2 linked regions of the Schizosaccharomyces pombe genome follow. The protein of the gene in region 2 binds, or shares a complex with, the protein of the main gene of each other region. Each region holds a gene or a part of one and is shown on either strand. Other genes may lie near its edges.

Region 1 (5,217 bases), 1.7 Mb from region 2:
TGCTCCCTGAATGACTTGTGACATGAAGCGCGCGTCGTAAAGTAAGTAGGTGGTCAAAAGTAGTATAACGAAACCTTTCACAACTTTTCGAAATACTAAGTGGGGGAGACCTTGGGCAGTTGAAATGAATACATGGGGTAGGCAATTTACAACAACGAACACTACATTTCACTATACTATGCTGTATTAAATGTATTACATGTCCCCATGTTCTTCTTTGTATGAGTAACTGGTTCTACCGATACAACAAGCTTTCTTTGAATTTTGATTTTTAAATAAAATTTCATATCCATTATTTCCGTTTTATCTTTCAACTGTCTATTAAATAAACTTGTTTTTGTGACTAATCTACACTTGTTTATTCATATCATCTACTTAAGAGAATGTACTGAGTACAGAAAATGCTTATCGCAGTCTAACGATGTTTTGTAATTTTGCAAAGTGTATATGACCTTGATGGTATATATCTTTAGTCTCTAGTGGGGTAAAAGTTCTCAAACGGGGGCCAAATTGTATTATTACTTTGGAAGTAGTATCTTGCTGTACAAAAGTATAAAAAAAGTCTCACATATTACCTTTACCACCAAATATCTAGACTTGCCAAATGGAGCAATTTTCGTAAAATAATACAACAGATATAACTTGCTATTCCTTTAATTATTATTACCTTTACGTTCAAAAGACAATCCATTTGTACTGAATGGCTGATCCACTATACTCTTCGTTGAAAACTGTCAATTCAACTTCTAAAGTGACACCCGAATCCCTGGTATTTCAAACAAAAATCCTAACACCTGAAGAGGCAAAAAATGTTATAAACGAAAAAATTGCTTTCAAACCGCTTTTACTTGTCCCTTCTCTAAACTTAGAAAAACAAGGAGATCGAAAAGAGTCGGTTGCTTCAAAGAAAAGGAAAAAGTTGTCTTCAAAGGAGAAAAAAAAGCTGCAATTAAATGTTGTTCCAAAGATTGCTGACTATAGCCAATTCAAACATTTACATTCCATGTGGTGCTCTTACATATTAGAAGTGATAGCAGGATGCACAGGTGAATCTTTAATGGCCAAATTAGCAAAAGCAGAATATCAAGGTGCATATATGCAAGTTCTTCGGAGTAAAAGTACTACGCGAGTCGGACTTGAAGGTATTTGTATCCACGAAAGTAAACATATGCTCTCTTTAATTACTAAAGAAAACAGGGTTGTTCGTAAGTACCATTTTCAAAACATTGTATTTTGAAAAATATCTTTGCTGAGTAACTTTTTACTAATTCGTCTAGGTGTTCCCAAACAAGATTCTGTTATGAAAGTTATCGTTGATGTTCCCCAAAGGAAACTTGTTTTTGAATTGTATACTCAACATTTACTATTGAGAGCAGGTGATAGATCGAATAAGCGTTTTAAATCGAAAAATACAATAGATCTCTGAAAGTTGTTAATTACGTGATTCTCTTAGAGAATCGTACTTGCGATTGATTGAAATGGAATACTAGAGTGGTTTCTTTTTATTAGTGTATATATATTGGCAATTTCGTACAAATACTTAATATTGCTTACAGAGCACGCAGTGTAGACAATAACTTGTTCATACTTGGCAATATTGTATGTTTGCTGTATATTGTAGAGCTTAAACGACGCCAGTCTCTAAAATACTTTCAGAGCACAGATCTTTTTCCATTGTATTTATTGATCCAACATTTTAATACTAATTTTCGTTTACTGAATTTCTAAAGTATAAGTGATAAATCGCGCCTTTATGCAATTCTTCGCTATAAGATTATAGCCTTCGATTTTTTGATTCACGGGCAATAATATAAGATGTTACTGAAGTGTACGATAACTAAGACAAGTGAATGGAATGCATAGGATAAAACGAAGATTATGTCAAAGTCGTTTAAGAGCAAGATATGCTTTTGGGATTTTTGTTTGAAAAGGGACGTAAGTAACTTGTTACCTCTGCAATTGGACTGATTTAAGTGCTATGTAAACTACTAACATATCTTGAGTAAAAGCTTGTAGCTTTACAACAAGGTCTCATTTGCCTTCGTGATTTGAGCATCCTTGTATATTTTTTATGGATGGAGTGGGATGCTGATGATTTGCTAATAGAACCGACAACAGAAGTGGAGAATGATTATGAGGATTTATGTACTCAATGGGTGAATGAGCGAATGGCTCCGGATTTGTTGCCTTTTGCTGAAGAAATTGTAAGCAGAGTTCTTGATAGAATTGAAGCACAACGAGAAACTCTACAATTGGCCATTGGAACAAGTAGTGCAACTAGTTATAGGAGCGTACTAATGCAAACCGAACTTGAGCGAGTGAAGTTTGTTTTACGCTCGTATATGCGAACTCGAATCAATAAAATTGACAAATATGCTCAATACATTCAATCACATCCTAATTTATTGTTGTATTTGTCATCTCCAGAACGTCAATATCTTTTAAGGCACCAGCAAATAGTACATCGTCATTACATGGATTCATTTTTACGAGAAGTTCCTGCAAAAATGAATAAACTTGATGATAAGGTCGGAAATTTATCAATGGTAGCATCACCTGATATGGATACTGCCGTGTTTTGTGTGGTCAACGAGTCAGTCGAAGAAAACTTTCGAGTTTCAGAAAATGAGTATATAACTCTCGACAAGGGAGATGTTTTGATTCTTCGGTACTCTGTTATTTCTGATTACCTTCGACTTGGTGTTGTCTCACTAATATAATCCCGGCTATTAATTAATTACTACAATATTTCACAGGCTGTAGGTTGTACTGGATTGTTATTTAAAGTTGAATTTTCGCATGTAAATGTATAATTTGATCAACAATACAATATCATTATCTCTATTTTATAAGCTTCAAAAAGGTATAAATGATTTATCTAACTGATGTGATCAGTTTCAACAGTTTGGCAACCATATTTTCAATCAGGCATTCATATTAGTTAACGGTTGGAATAGAAAATGTTGTTCGCCAATGTTGAATGTAATATTTACATTTTCTAAACCATCCGGGGAATTGCGAAGGCGATCAATAACATCGTCTAAAAGAATTGCTCGTCCTACAGCAGAGCCGTCTCCAGTTTCATGGTCAACATGCAATATATGTACATGTAAGTGGTAGTAGGAAGGTAAATCTAGAGGAATGTCAGTAAACTATTTTGCTTTTAAATTATAACATACAATGGACAAACATCTTTAACTGATTTTTATCTACGGAAAATTGTTTTGGGACTTCTGTCAAGACTTTATTTCGAATGTTTTCTAAAAGAGGAATATGCTTATATTTCAAATCACGAATACTTGCAATATCCGTTGCGTGAACAATAGCCATTAAATTCAGAGCAGACATAGTTTGGCGATCCCACTTTCTAATTTTTGTTAGTAAACTTACAAAAGAACTTATATATGGTAAAACATGCACCCAAGTACCAGGGATGACTATTGCTGATAGATACAATTGGCATGCATTTAAAGGATGCAACTAATAAACCATTTTGAGTTATTCTTACAGATCAGGAATGACAATAAATCCATTCAGGGGATCCGGATCCTCAACGACAATACGCTCGGCCTCAGCTTTATGAGTAAGGATGTTTTCAACCCATTGAATTTGAGGACCTCTTTGAGTTTCAATAAACGGCTTAGTGACTTTTAGATACATTTCCGGCGTTTCACACACCATTCTCTTTTTTTGAGAAGAATATTTTCGTACATGCTACATACGGTTAATAGAGAGGAAAAATTGGTATTTTCTTACAGTCTCAGAAGCCGGCCAAATTAGTGTGGACTTCACAGAGGGCAATGTAGAACAATCTTGAAAATTAGTGCTTAGAAACCAATGAAAAACATCATTGTTTTCTACGAGTTTAGTATCTTGTAGAAATGTTGCCAGTTGGTCAAGCTTTATCGTGTTCAAATCGAAAGCTGTTTTTTCGAGCAAAAGTAATGCTACTTCGTTTCTGATTTTTCCGTACAAGGTTATTATTTTGCTTTTGGTATCATCTTTTAAAATTTTTTCGAATTTAAATTCTTTAAGCAGTTGTATTTTCGCGGCAGAACTTTCTTCCATTTTAAATTTGTCTCTTCTTGGGTATAAAATATTTAAACGTCCGTTATGTCTTACCGATAGAAGTAAAAAAATCCAAAAAGATTGAGAGGTACAACAGCTTTTGAGATGCTGAGACTAAAGAGCTTGTTGCAAGGCTTTAATAGGTTGATTCTACTACATAATATTTCACTTACAACAAAAAACTAAATAGTATTCGTAAGGTTAAAGGGAAACACGCCTTCTTATATAGTACCTAAAACAAATACAAATTATAACTATCAAATAATTTACTCTAAGTCTTAAAATCAAAATTTTTTTTTCTGTCAGACACCGCTACATAGAATCTTAATATCGTAGTGACCTAAAAAATTACAAAACAAACCGGTAATATCACATGCCTAGAGTTACTTCAAAATGTATATTGAGAATTTAAAATTGTGAAATAATTAATATATAACACAAACATTAAATCTATAAAGTAGTTATTTTCAATACTTATAAAGCTATATAAACATCTTTTCGTACGCGGTTGCTATTTATTCTAGTAAGACACAACTCGTACAACCTTTTAGACATTGACCAACCCGAATTGAAACCGAACCCTTATTCACAATTAGCATTTGTCTATACCTAATTGTTTATTTTCTCGTTTACGTTTATTATTTACAGGTGTTATATTTTTTTTAGTAAAGTTTAAAGGTTTTTTTTCCTTTTTTTAAGAATCATCTTTTCCTGTTAAATTCGCCTTTTGGGGAAGGAGGGTTAAGGTTAAAAGTTACGAATATGCAAACCCTTCTTTTCTACTTTTTTTTTATAAACTTGATTTTTGCCCACGATCTCAATGTGAAGACATACAAAGTAGGTGGTTTTGTTGCCATCAAATAATTGTTGATAACTGGGATTTTTGCATTATTTGGTTACTAACTTATGTATTAGCCTTGTACAATTCCTTCCGTATTCTCTGAACAATTTACTTCTGAAGACATCACAACCTGGCGCTCTCGATGGCGTGCTCCAGTGAACAAAGATTTGGGGGTTTGGGACTTGGTTGAAGCACCAGGCTCCCACTTAAGAGATGAATATGGTTTAATTACTTTGAAAAGTAATAAACCTCATATTCTTATAAGTAACCTAGAAAATCCTACTACTCGACAATCGTCATCAGTACCA
Region 2 (7,043 bases):
ATTCCACTATGTTAAACCAATTGTATTACATAAATGATAAAGAATTTCATTGTTCAACTCGAGTTTTTCTAATAAACCATTTTTATTTATAGACTGCAGTGACTACTTATTCAAATTCACATTGAATATGAGAATAAAAACATTCCAAAATTTCTTAACATTTTCTTGTCATAATAAAAAGTTAATCACCAGGCTTCTGTTTAAAGGTTTTACCATTATTTAATATTTGGTATTTCAAACACAGAGCATAAATACCCGTCGCAGAATTGAAAAATAAAATCCTAAATTTTTTATAATTGCCCATTATATGCGTCTTTCGAACGTAAATAATCATCACTAAAAACCAAATCCTACAAATTTTTACAAAAATAATACACAAATACCATTTTGTGAAACATTAATTATCCCTCAACTCAATATTTTGGTAGCTTCATTCCTAACTGTCATCTTGGAAAGATTCGAATAACACAAAAGAAGAAACAAACACAAAAAAAACAGATTCACGGAACTAATCAAAAGATAGATGGATATGTGCAAAACAAAAGCTTAACAAGTAAACCAATTTCCTTCGTCTATTATAGAGAAATTTTTGAATACCGCTAAATGCAATCGCTTTATAGAAAATTCCTTCTAATATGAGTTGTATCTATCACCACAAATATACAGATAAAAAAATTCTATAACATATGTAAATACCAACTAACTTCACTCTCTTTAAAAAAGCAAAGCTAAAAACCAAAAAAGATACTTATCCAATTATTCTCTTTCCTCCTTCCAAATTTTTAAAAGAAACATTACCATAAGCTCATTTGGCTTGGTACTGCTGTCTGTAAGCATCCATTGCCTTTGATTCAGCTGCAGTTAAGTCTGATTTGGTAAAGTCAACAATGTCGTCCAAAGTAAGGATGGAGGAAACGGGTAAGTTAAGCTCCTTCTTCAATCTACCAATGGTACTTTCGTTTACTTCGGGGTCCAGTCGCTCTTGGCGGTCAAGCAAAAGGACGATACCAGCCAATTTTACGTGCTTAGGTTCTAAGAAGGAAATTGCTTCACGAATGGCAGTTCCAGCGGTAATAACATCATCCAAAAGTAAAACCTTTTTACCTTCCATTTCGGCGCCTACAAGGTTACCTCCTTCACCATGGGACTTGGCCTCTTTGCGGTTATAGGCAAATCCATAGCTCTTTCCAGTTTTTTCATAAAGTTTGACGGCCGTTATAGCAGCCAAAGAGATACCCTTATAAGCAGGACCAAATATGACATCAAAATCAACGTTCATAGCGATAATAGTCTCGGCATAGGCTTCTGCAAGAGCGCATAAATCGGCACCATGAGTGAAATTACCAGAATTGAAGAAGTATGGAGATTTTCTGCCTGATTTTAAGGTGAAAGTTCCAAACTTCAAAACATTATGTTCTAAGGCACGACGCAACAACTCAAGTTTATAAGACATGTTTACTACTAGTTTTGTTGATAAACGTTGATACTCACAAAAGAAAAAAGCTAGTATCACCTTTTCTAAGCTCTACATGGGGGTTATGTGGGGGAATAAACAAAAATCATAACTAAAGAAAAATGCAAGTTTGTAGGCAAACTACTCAATCTATAATCTAATGTGCAAAAGAGAATTAATGTCCTATCAAAATGGACTTTTTTCCTTTTATTAAAAAGTTTGACAAGTGCTTTTGAAGAAGCGAAATAATCTTGTCTCTGATAAAGTGCAATCGTTAACTTCCACTCAATTCAACCATGTTGGCTGAATTTTATCAATAACGCTCATATACTGGTTCACTCGATCCAAATTTCTGACATGTGAGTCTCCAGTCCAGAAAAGTTTCCAAGGTGTTTTGCTTGACTTTAAGGAGCCTACACTTCTTTCAAAGTACCATTTATTGACTGGATTAGTCAGGCGAGAGCGCCATATCAACTCTTTGGGAAATAAATCAGTCATAACATTAAACATAACATCAGATATTGCTGCTGAACCCTGGGCTCCTTGTGAGACGGCAAGCTTATCAAGATAAGGGACCTTTTCATTCGTTGTTCCATCTGGTTGTTCATAAGTTACAATGGCTGTCCCTAAATAGTCCCCTGCAATAATGACTGCAGCTAGCGAATTCTTCAACCTATCTAAATATGCGTCCATATCAAGCGTTCGCTTAAAGGAGTCATTAATTAAAACCCAAAGCCTTTCCCACGAAACGGAGCCATCAGTTAGACATTTCGGACCTAGGAATGTATATACCGGTACACCGCTACGCAAAACAGTTGTTTTCGTAATAGGAGATCGATCGCGCGGCAAGGAACATGAAATAATAGAGCGATCCGTCAAAACATTGTGAATTAACGGATTTTTGTCTAAGACAGGATTTGTAAGCATAGCATCCTCAGGCGTAGTGATTAGAGCAGAGGCATCATCCGGTAACATTTTCAAACAGCGTCTTACCAAAATCAAATTTTTTCTATGATAAGGTGGAAGTGTTTTCGCTAACTCGTCAAACTCTTGAGCCAGATTGATGAGAACATGACTAGAACCAGTTTGTCGTTTAGAACATGGCATGCCACCATTTTTATCAAGAATGACGATTCGGTCTACCCAAAACCCAAAGTTTGGCTTGTGTAACGAGTAAGTTAAACCAGCAAGAACCTCATTACCATCAATTGGAACCTCAATGACGTTGGGCATTAAAATCGAGCTTGGCACTATGACCGTGTAAAGTGAAGACAGCGCTTGAAAAATACCTTGCACATTCTCAACACTAGGGCCTTCAGGGCCCAATTGACATACAGAGGAGTAGCTAGGACGGGTTAACACTCCCGCTTTCGAAAAAATTTCCGAAACTCGAATGACTCTATTTTGCTGTTGCTGTAGCTCCTCAAAGATTGAAAGTTTACGTTTTTTCGCTACGACCGTACCATTCTCCAAATATTTAAAAGGAGATGTCATGCCAATTGGATTGGAAGTGGGAACAATCACTGATTGAATCCCTAAACGTGCCAGGCTATTTATACTTCGACCAATTCCATATAGGGTATTATCACTTAAAGAATCCACATCATCAATTTTGGTAATAGAAATTCTGTTTAAAAACGAACTCGATATTGGCTGAGCGAAGGATTTCTTGTTGGGAGAGCCATCCTTAAGCGAAGAATGTTTTTGCAAAAACCCTTTCGTAGACCTACGAGATTGGACTGATTTCAATATCCAAATAAGGTCTTGTGACAATGAAGGTTTTTGCATTCAAAATTATTACCTTAAAACGAGAAATATAAAAATTTGACAATCATATACCGATGACCTAAGAGCAAGATGTGATTTAGATGAGGGTGACTATTATGAGTCCGAAACCCACCACACAAAAAATTATGCTGTAAGGAATAACAACCAATAAATGCTATAAACGAACTCCAAAATAGAAAAACAAAACTTTAAATAAAAAAAGACATTAAGCCCAAAAACGGTACTATTGATAGGCATTTTTGTACTGTTCGTTGGTGATAGAGATGGCCTTACCAAGGGAACTTGAAATTTCATTCTCACCAGAGGAAATGGAATTTTTAGCTGGCAATGAGTATATTAACATTGTTCCTTCAGAAACAATGGATCAATTGCCGCTAGTTAGCGCGACGATTCCCATTATGAAGCCTCCCAAAAAATGTCGGGTTCCTTTATGGTTGGCTCTTGAGCTAAAAAAGCAAAATTTGGCAAGGATTGTACCTCCGGAATGGATGGAAATAGGCAAACTTGAAAACATACGAGATGATGAATTGGAAAACGAGACATTCTCAGAGTTGCCTTTTCGGTGGCTAGAAACGGCGCATTTATTGTTAAACTTCTGTGCTGATGATATCGAGGATGTTGAGGATATCAGGAGGATTTTGCTGGACATTCGAGAAGCTAGACAAAGTAAAGCAAGAACGGGATTGGAAGCCATTAATGAAGTTCAACTAACTTTGGATAATTTGGGTGCAATGGAAATTAACGAAATACGTCCTATATTTCGAGAGGTGATGGACAGAATGCGCAAAATTGTTCAAGTTTCCCAAGAAGAATGAGTTACTCATCAAAAGTAAAGTGGGAAATAAATGGACTTCACATGAGAATATTTCGGTATCGTGTGGATGATGTACTTTAAAAATAATGATAATGAATCCTACGAAGTGTTTATGAATACCAACTTTGTAGTAGTGAAATTTTATCACAGTAAGCAGTAGATGAGGGTTTCACACTTGCGACTTTGAACTCGATTTGGAAACGGTGGTGCTTTTTGATGAAGAAGAAGAGGAGGATGCCACCGTTTTTGTAGGTTGTCTAGCGGACTTTTGGGAGGAAAGCTCGTCTAGATTATAAAATTCTTTTATTTTTCTGAAATAGTAATTAGCAATTAGTGTTTCCAGTAGTACGTATGGCAAAGTAAAATTTGATATTACACTTACGTTCTCCACGGTGTGGCAGACACATTGCAGGAAAGATGGTTCTTTAGATCGCGCAGATGCATATTTCGTTGAGCGCGAGGAATAGCGGCGATACGCATTTCTCCTCGCATACGAATTGTTGAAGCAAGTAAACTAGCGTTTGAGCGCAAACGTCGTACTTTATCGGAAACTGAAAAATACCCGTTAACACTTTACTACTTCCAGGTACAAAAACTTACGTTCAAATGCTAAATTTTCAAGTATATCGTTCTTGTGTTCTTGGAGAATTCGCTGTCGTACTTGACGATGTTTCGTCTCTCCAAGCTCTTCCACTCTTTTACGCTTGTTCATCATTAAGCATTATAAATTATCAAAAAACAAAACAGATGTTTGCTAACAGCTGATCAAAAGACGGTACTTCTGGGTGCGCTGAAAAGGTGGTGGGAATAAGAGTTGTTGTATAAACAATAAATCTTCAACTAATATGTAAGTAACATCGTTACCTAATACTCAATATGTAAACAAACGTTAGAAAGGAGAGGATTGCACAAAAAAGCGTACCCAAAAGATATTTTATAAATTGAAAGAAGAATAATGACCTAGAATTAGAAAAAAGCAGCAAGTTTACAAAATAAAAGCGTTGAAACACATCACTTTAAAAGGTACATAAGAATTGATGATGCTTACTTCTAAGTAAATTATTAATAATATCAAATAAAAAAATATTGTACGAGGTAAAAGTCTCCCTCTTCAACTACATCGCATACAACATTGAAAACTGTTTAAAAAAGATATTTGGTATAACGTGTTCCAGTGCCATACGCTACAATGCAACCTCTGTTGTATTATATTTCGACTGTTAGCTTTTTTTTAACCCAATTCATAAGAAAATAGTTATGCCATTCAGTTAGTGACATTATCATATGTGTACATAAGATTATATATTCGTTTGTGACAAAATGCACTGCAAGCCGTCCTCACTATTTGCAATCCTGGAAAGATCGACAATAATCGTTATACACATTTACCGATATGTAAAGAATAGCTGCTTACCATTGGTAGTCGCTAGCGCCTGCGGAGTTACAAACCACCTAAACCAACCAACCGACCAACGAGACGAATATACCGTAACGAGCAGAATTTTGATTCCTGAGATCCTCCCAATAGTTAGAGCAATTGAAATAAGAATAGTCATTTTCCAATGAATCCATATGAGCCGGTCGAGGGGCTTTACGTGAATGCAAAGCAATACCATCGAATTTTGAAACGTAGAGAAGCTCGCGCAAAGTTAGAAGAGAGATTGCGTGGTGTGCAGACTACGAAAAAACCATATTTACATGAATCAAGGCATAAGCATGCTATGCGACGACCTCGTGGTCCTGGTGGCCGATTCTTGACTGCTGACAAAGTATCAAAATTGAGAGCGCAGGAAGCTGCAGAGGCAGCTGCTAATGGAGGAAGTACAGGAGACGATGTTAATGCCACAAATGCCAATGATGCCACCGTGCCTGCAACCGTTTCTTCTGAAGTGACTCACACGTCTGAAGGATATGCGGATAGCAATGATTCAAGACCTAGCTCTATCTCCAACTCGTCTGAGTCTCCAGCTCCTATCAATTCTGCCACAGCATCTATGTCTCCTGCTAACAATACTTCTGGAAACAACATTACTTCTCCAAATGTCAGAGGCGAGCTAGACATGAGTGGTAATATTGCCATGTCGGGTGGGCCCACTAATACCGCTTCCACCTCGGGGCCAGTGCCTCATGATATGACAGTGCTCCCACAGACCGACTCAAACACATCGAATCTTATGTCCAGTGGTTCTCAACTAGGCAGTTTTGCTACAGCTTCTACCAATGGCAACAACTCTACTACTACTACTACTTCGTCAGCTGCTCATCCAGGGTCATTTCATAAAGGTACTAATGATTATTCATCTACACTAGCTGGAAATGAGCATAGTGCTTTTCCTGGTCTGGATGTGTATCACGATGATAGCGTGTCTGCAGGTGCAGCTTTTATACCACACAATCCAATGGATTCGATTGATCACCTTGATGTCAATGATCCTACAGCCACAGGTCTCCCTGTACTACCAGCGAGCGATATCGATCCTCTTAATTTAACAGGCAATACCCAAGATTCTATGATAATTGGTCAGCAAACATATCCCTCACACGGTTCTTCAGGAACCATGAAGTAGTCAACTAATTAAGGCTGAGAGAGATACAAAACAATCACAAGACTGTGTATAGGTTGTCGACCTACCGACAAAGTTCAATTTAGGACTGCAATGTTGTTGGTGATTTTTTGAGAAAGAAACAAGTCGAAATCACTCAGTCATGGCCTTTTTGCATATCATATTATACTCATTATTTTTTTAGTCACCGATTTATTATCCATCAATTTGTTTTGACTTTTTTCGTTCTGCCCAATTTTTTTTTTTTATTTAACTCATATCCCTCCTGCTGTCTTTTTCTTATTCCAATAATATTTTTTCTCCGACCTGATTCTTCTGTTATTGTTTTTTTAGTGTTTTTTTTTCTGTTTCTTTCAAACTTTGATCGTGCAGCTTAAGCTCTTTCTTAAATGCAACAATACATTCTACTGTCTCATGTCATGCT

What was found.
Region 1: psf2 (region 2) and sld5 share a complex: the UniProt entries of both Schizosaccharomyces pombe proteins name them as parts of the GINS complex.

The regions. Positions count from the first base shown.
Region 1 is NC_003423.3:2,911,079-2,916,295, reverse strand, and holds sld5 (GINS complex subunit Sld5), read left to right. Parts: upstream 1-2,000; 5' UTR 2,001-2,075; coding exon 2,076-2,720; 3' UTR 2,721-2,824; downstream 2,825-5,217. Other genes in the region: RSC complex subunit Rsc9, read right to left, coding at 1-24; pop4 (Rnase P/MRP subunit), read left to right, coding at 701-1,205, 1,278-1,426; nhm1 (m7G(5')pppN diphosphatase), read right to left, coding at 2,925-3,133, 3,180-3,367, 3,509-3,714, 3,757-4,068; SPOM_SPBP4H10.19C (calreticulin/calnexin-like protein), read left to right, coding at 4,831-4,905, 4,984-5,217. UniProt on the Schizosaccharomyces pombe protein: The GINS complex plays an essential role in the initiation of DNA replication. Has a role in chromosome segregation and is required for bir1 localization.
Region 2 is NC_003423.3:1,225,489-1,232,531, reverse strand, and holds psf2 (GINS complex subunit Psf2), read left to right. Parts: upstream 1-3,344; 5' UTR 3,345-3,504; coding exon 3,505-4,056; 3' UTR 4,057-4,224; coding exon of another isoform or gene 4,225-4,366; 3' UTR 4,367-4,384; downstream 4,385-7,043. Other genes in the region: orotate phosphoribosyltransferase Ura5, read right to left, coding at 806-1,453; acetylglutamate synthase Arg6, read right to left, coding at 1,739-3,241; nbl1 (borealin N terminal domain-containing protein), read right to left, coding at 4,225-4,366, 4,438-4,606, 4,656-4,770; CCAAT-binding factor complex subunit Php2, read left to right, coding at 5,618-6,622; tsp0 (tspO-like protein), read right to left, coding at 6,537-6,563. UniProt on the Schizosaccharomyces pombe protein: The GINS complex plays an essential role in the initiation of DNA replication. Has a role in chromosome segregation and is required for bir1 localization.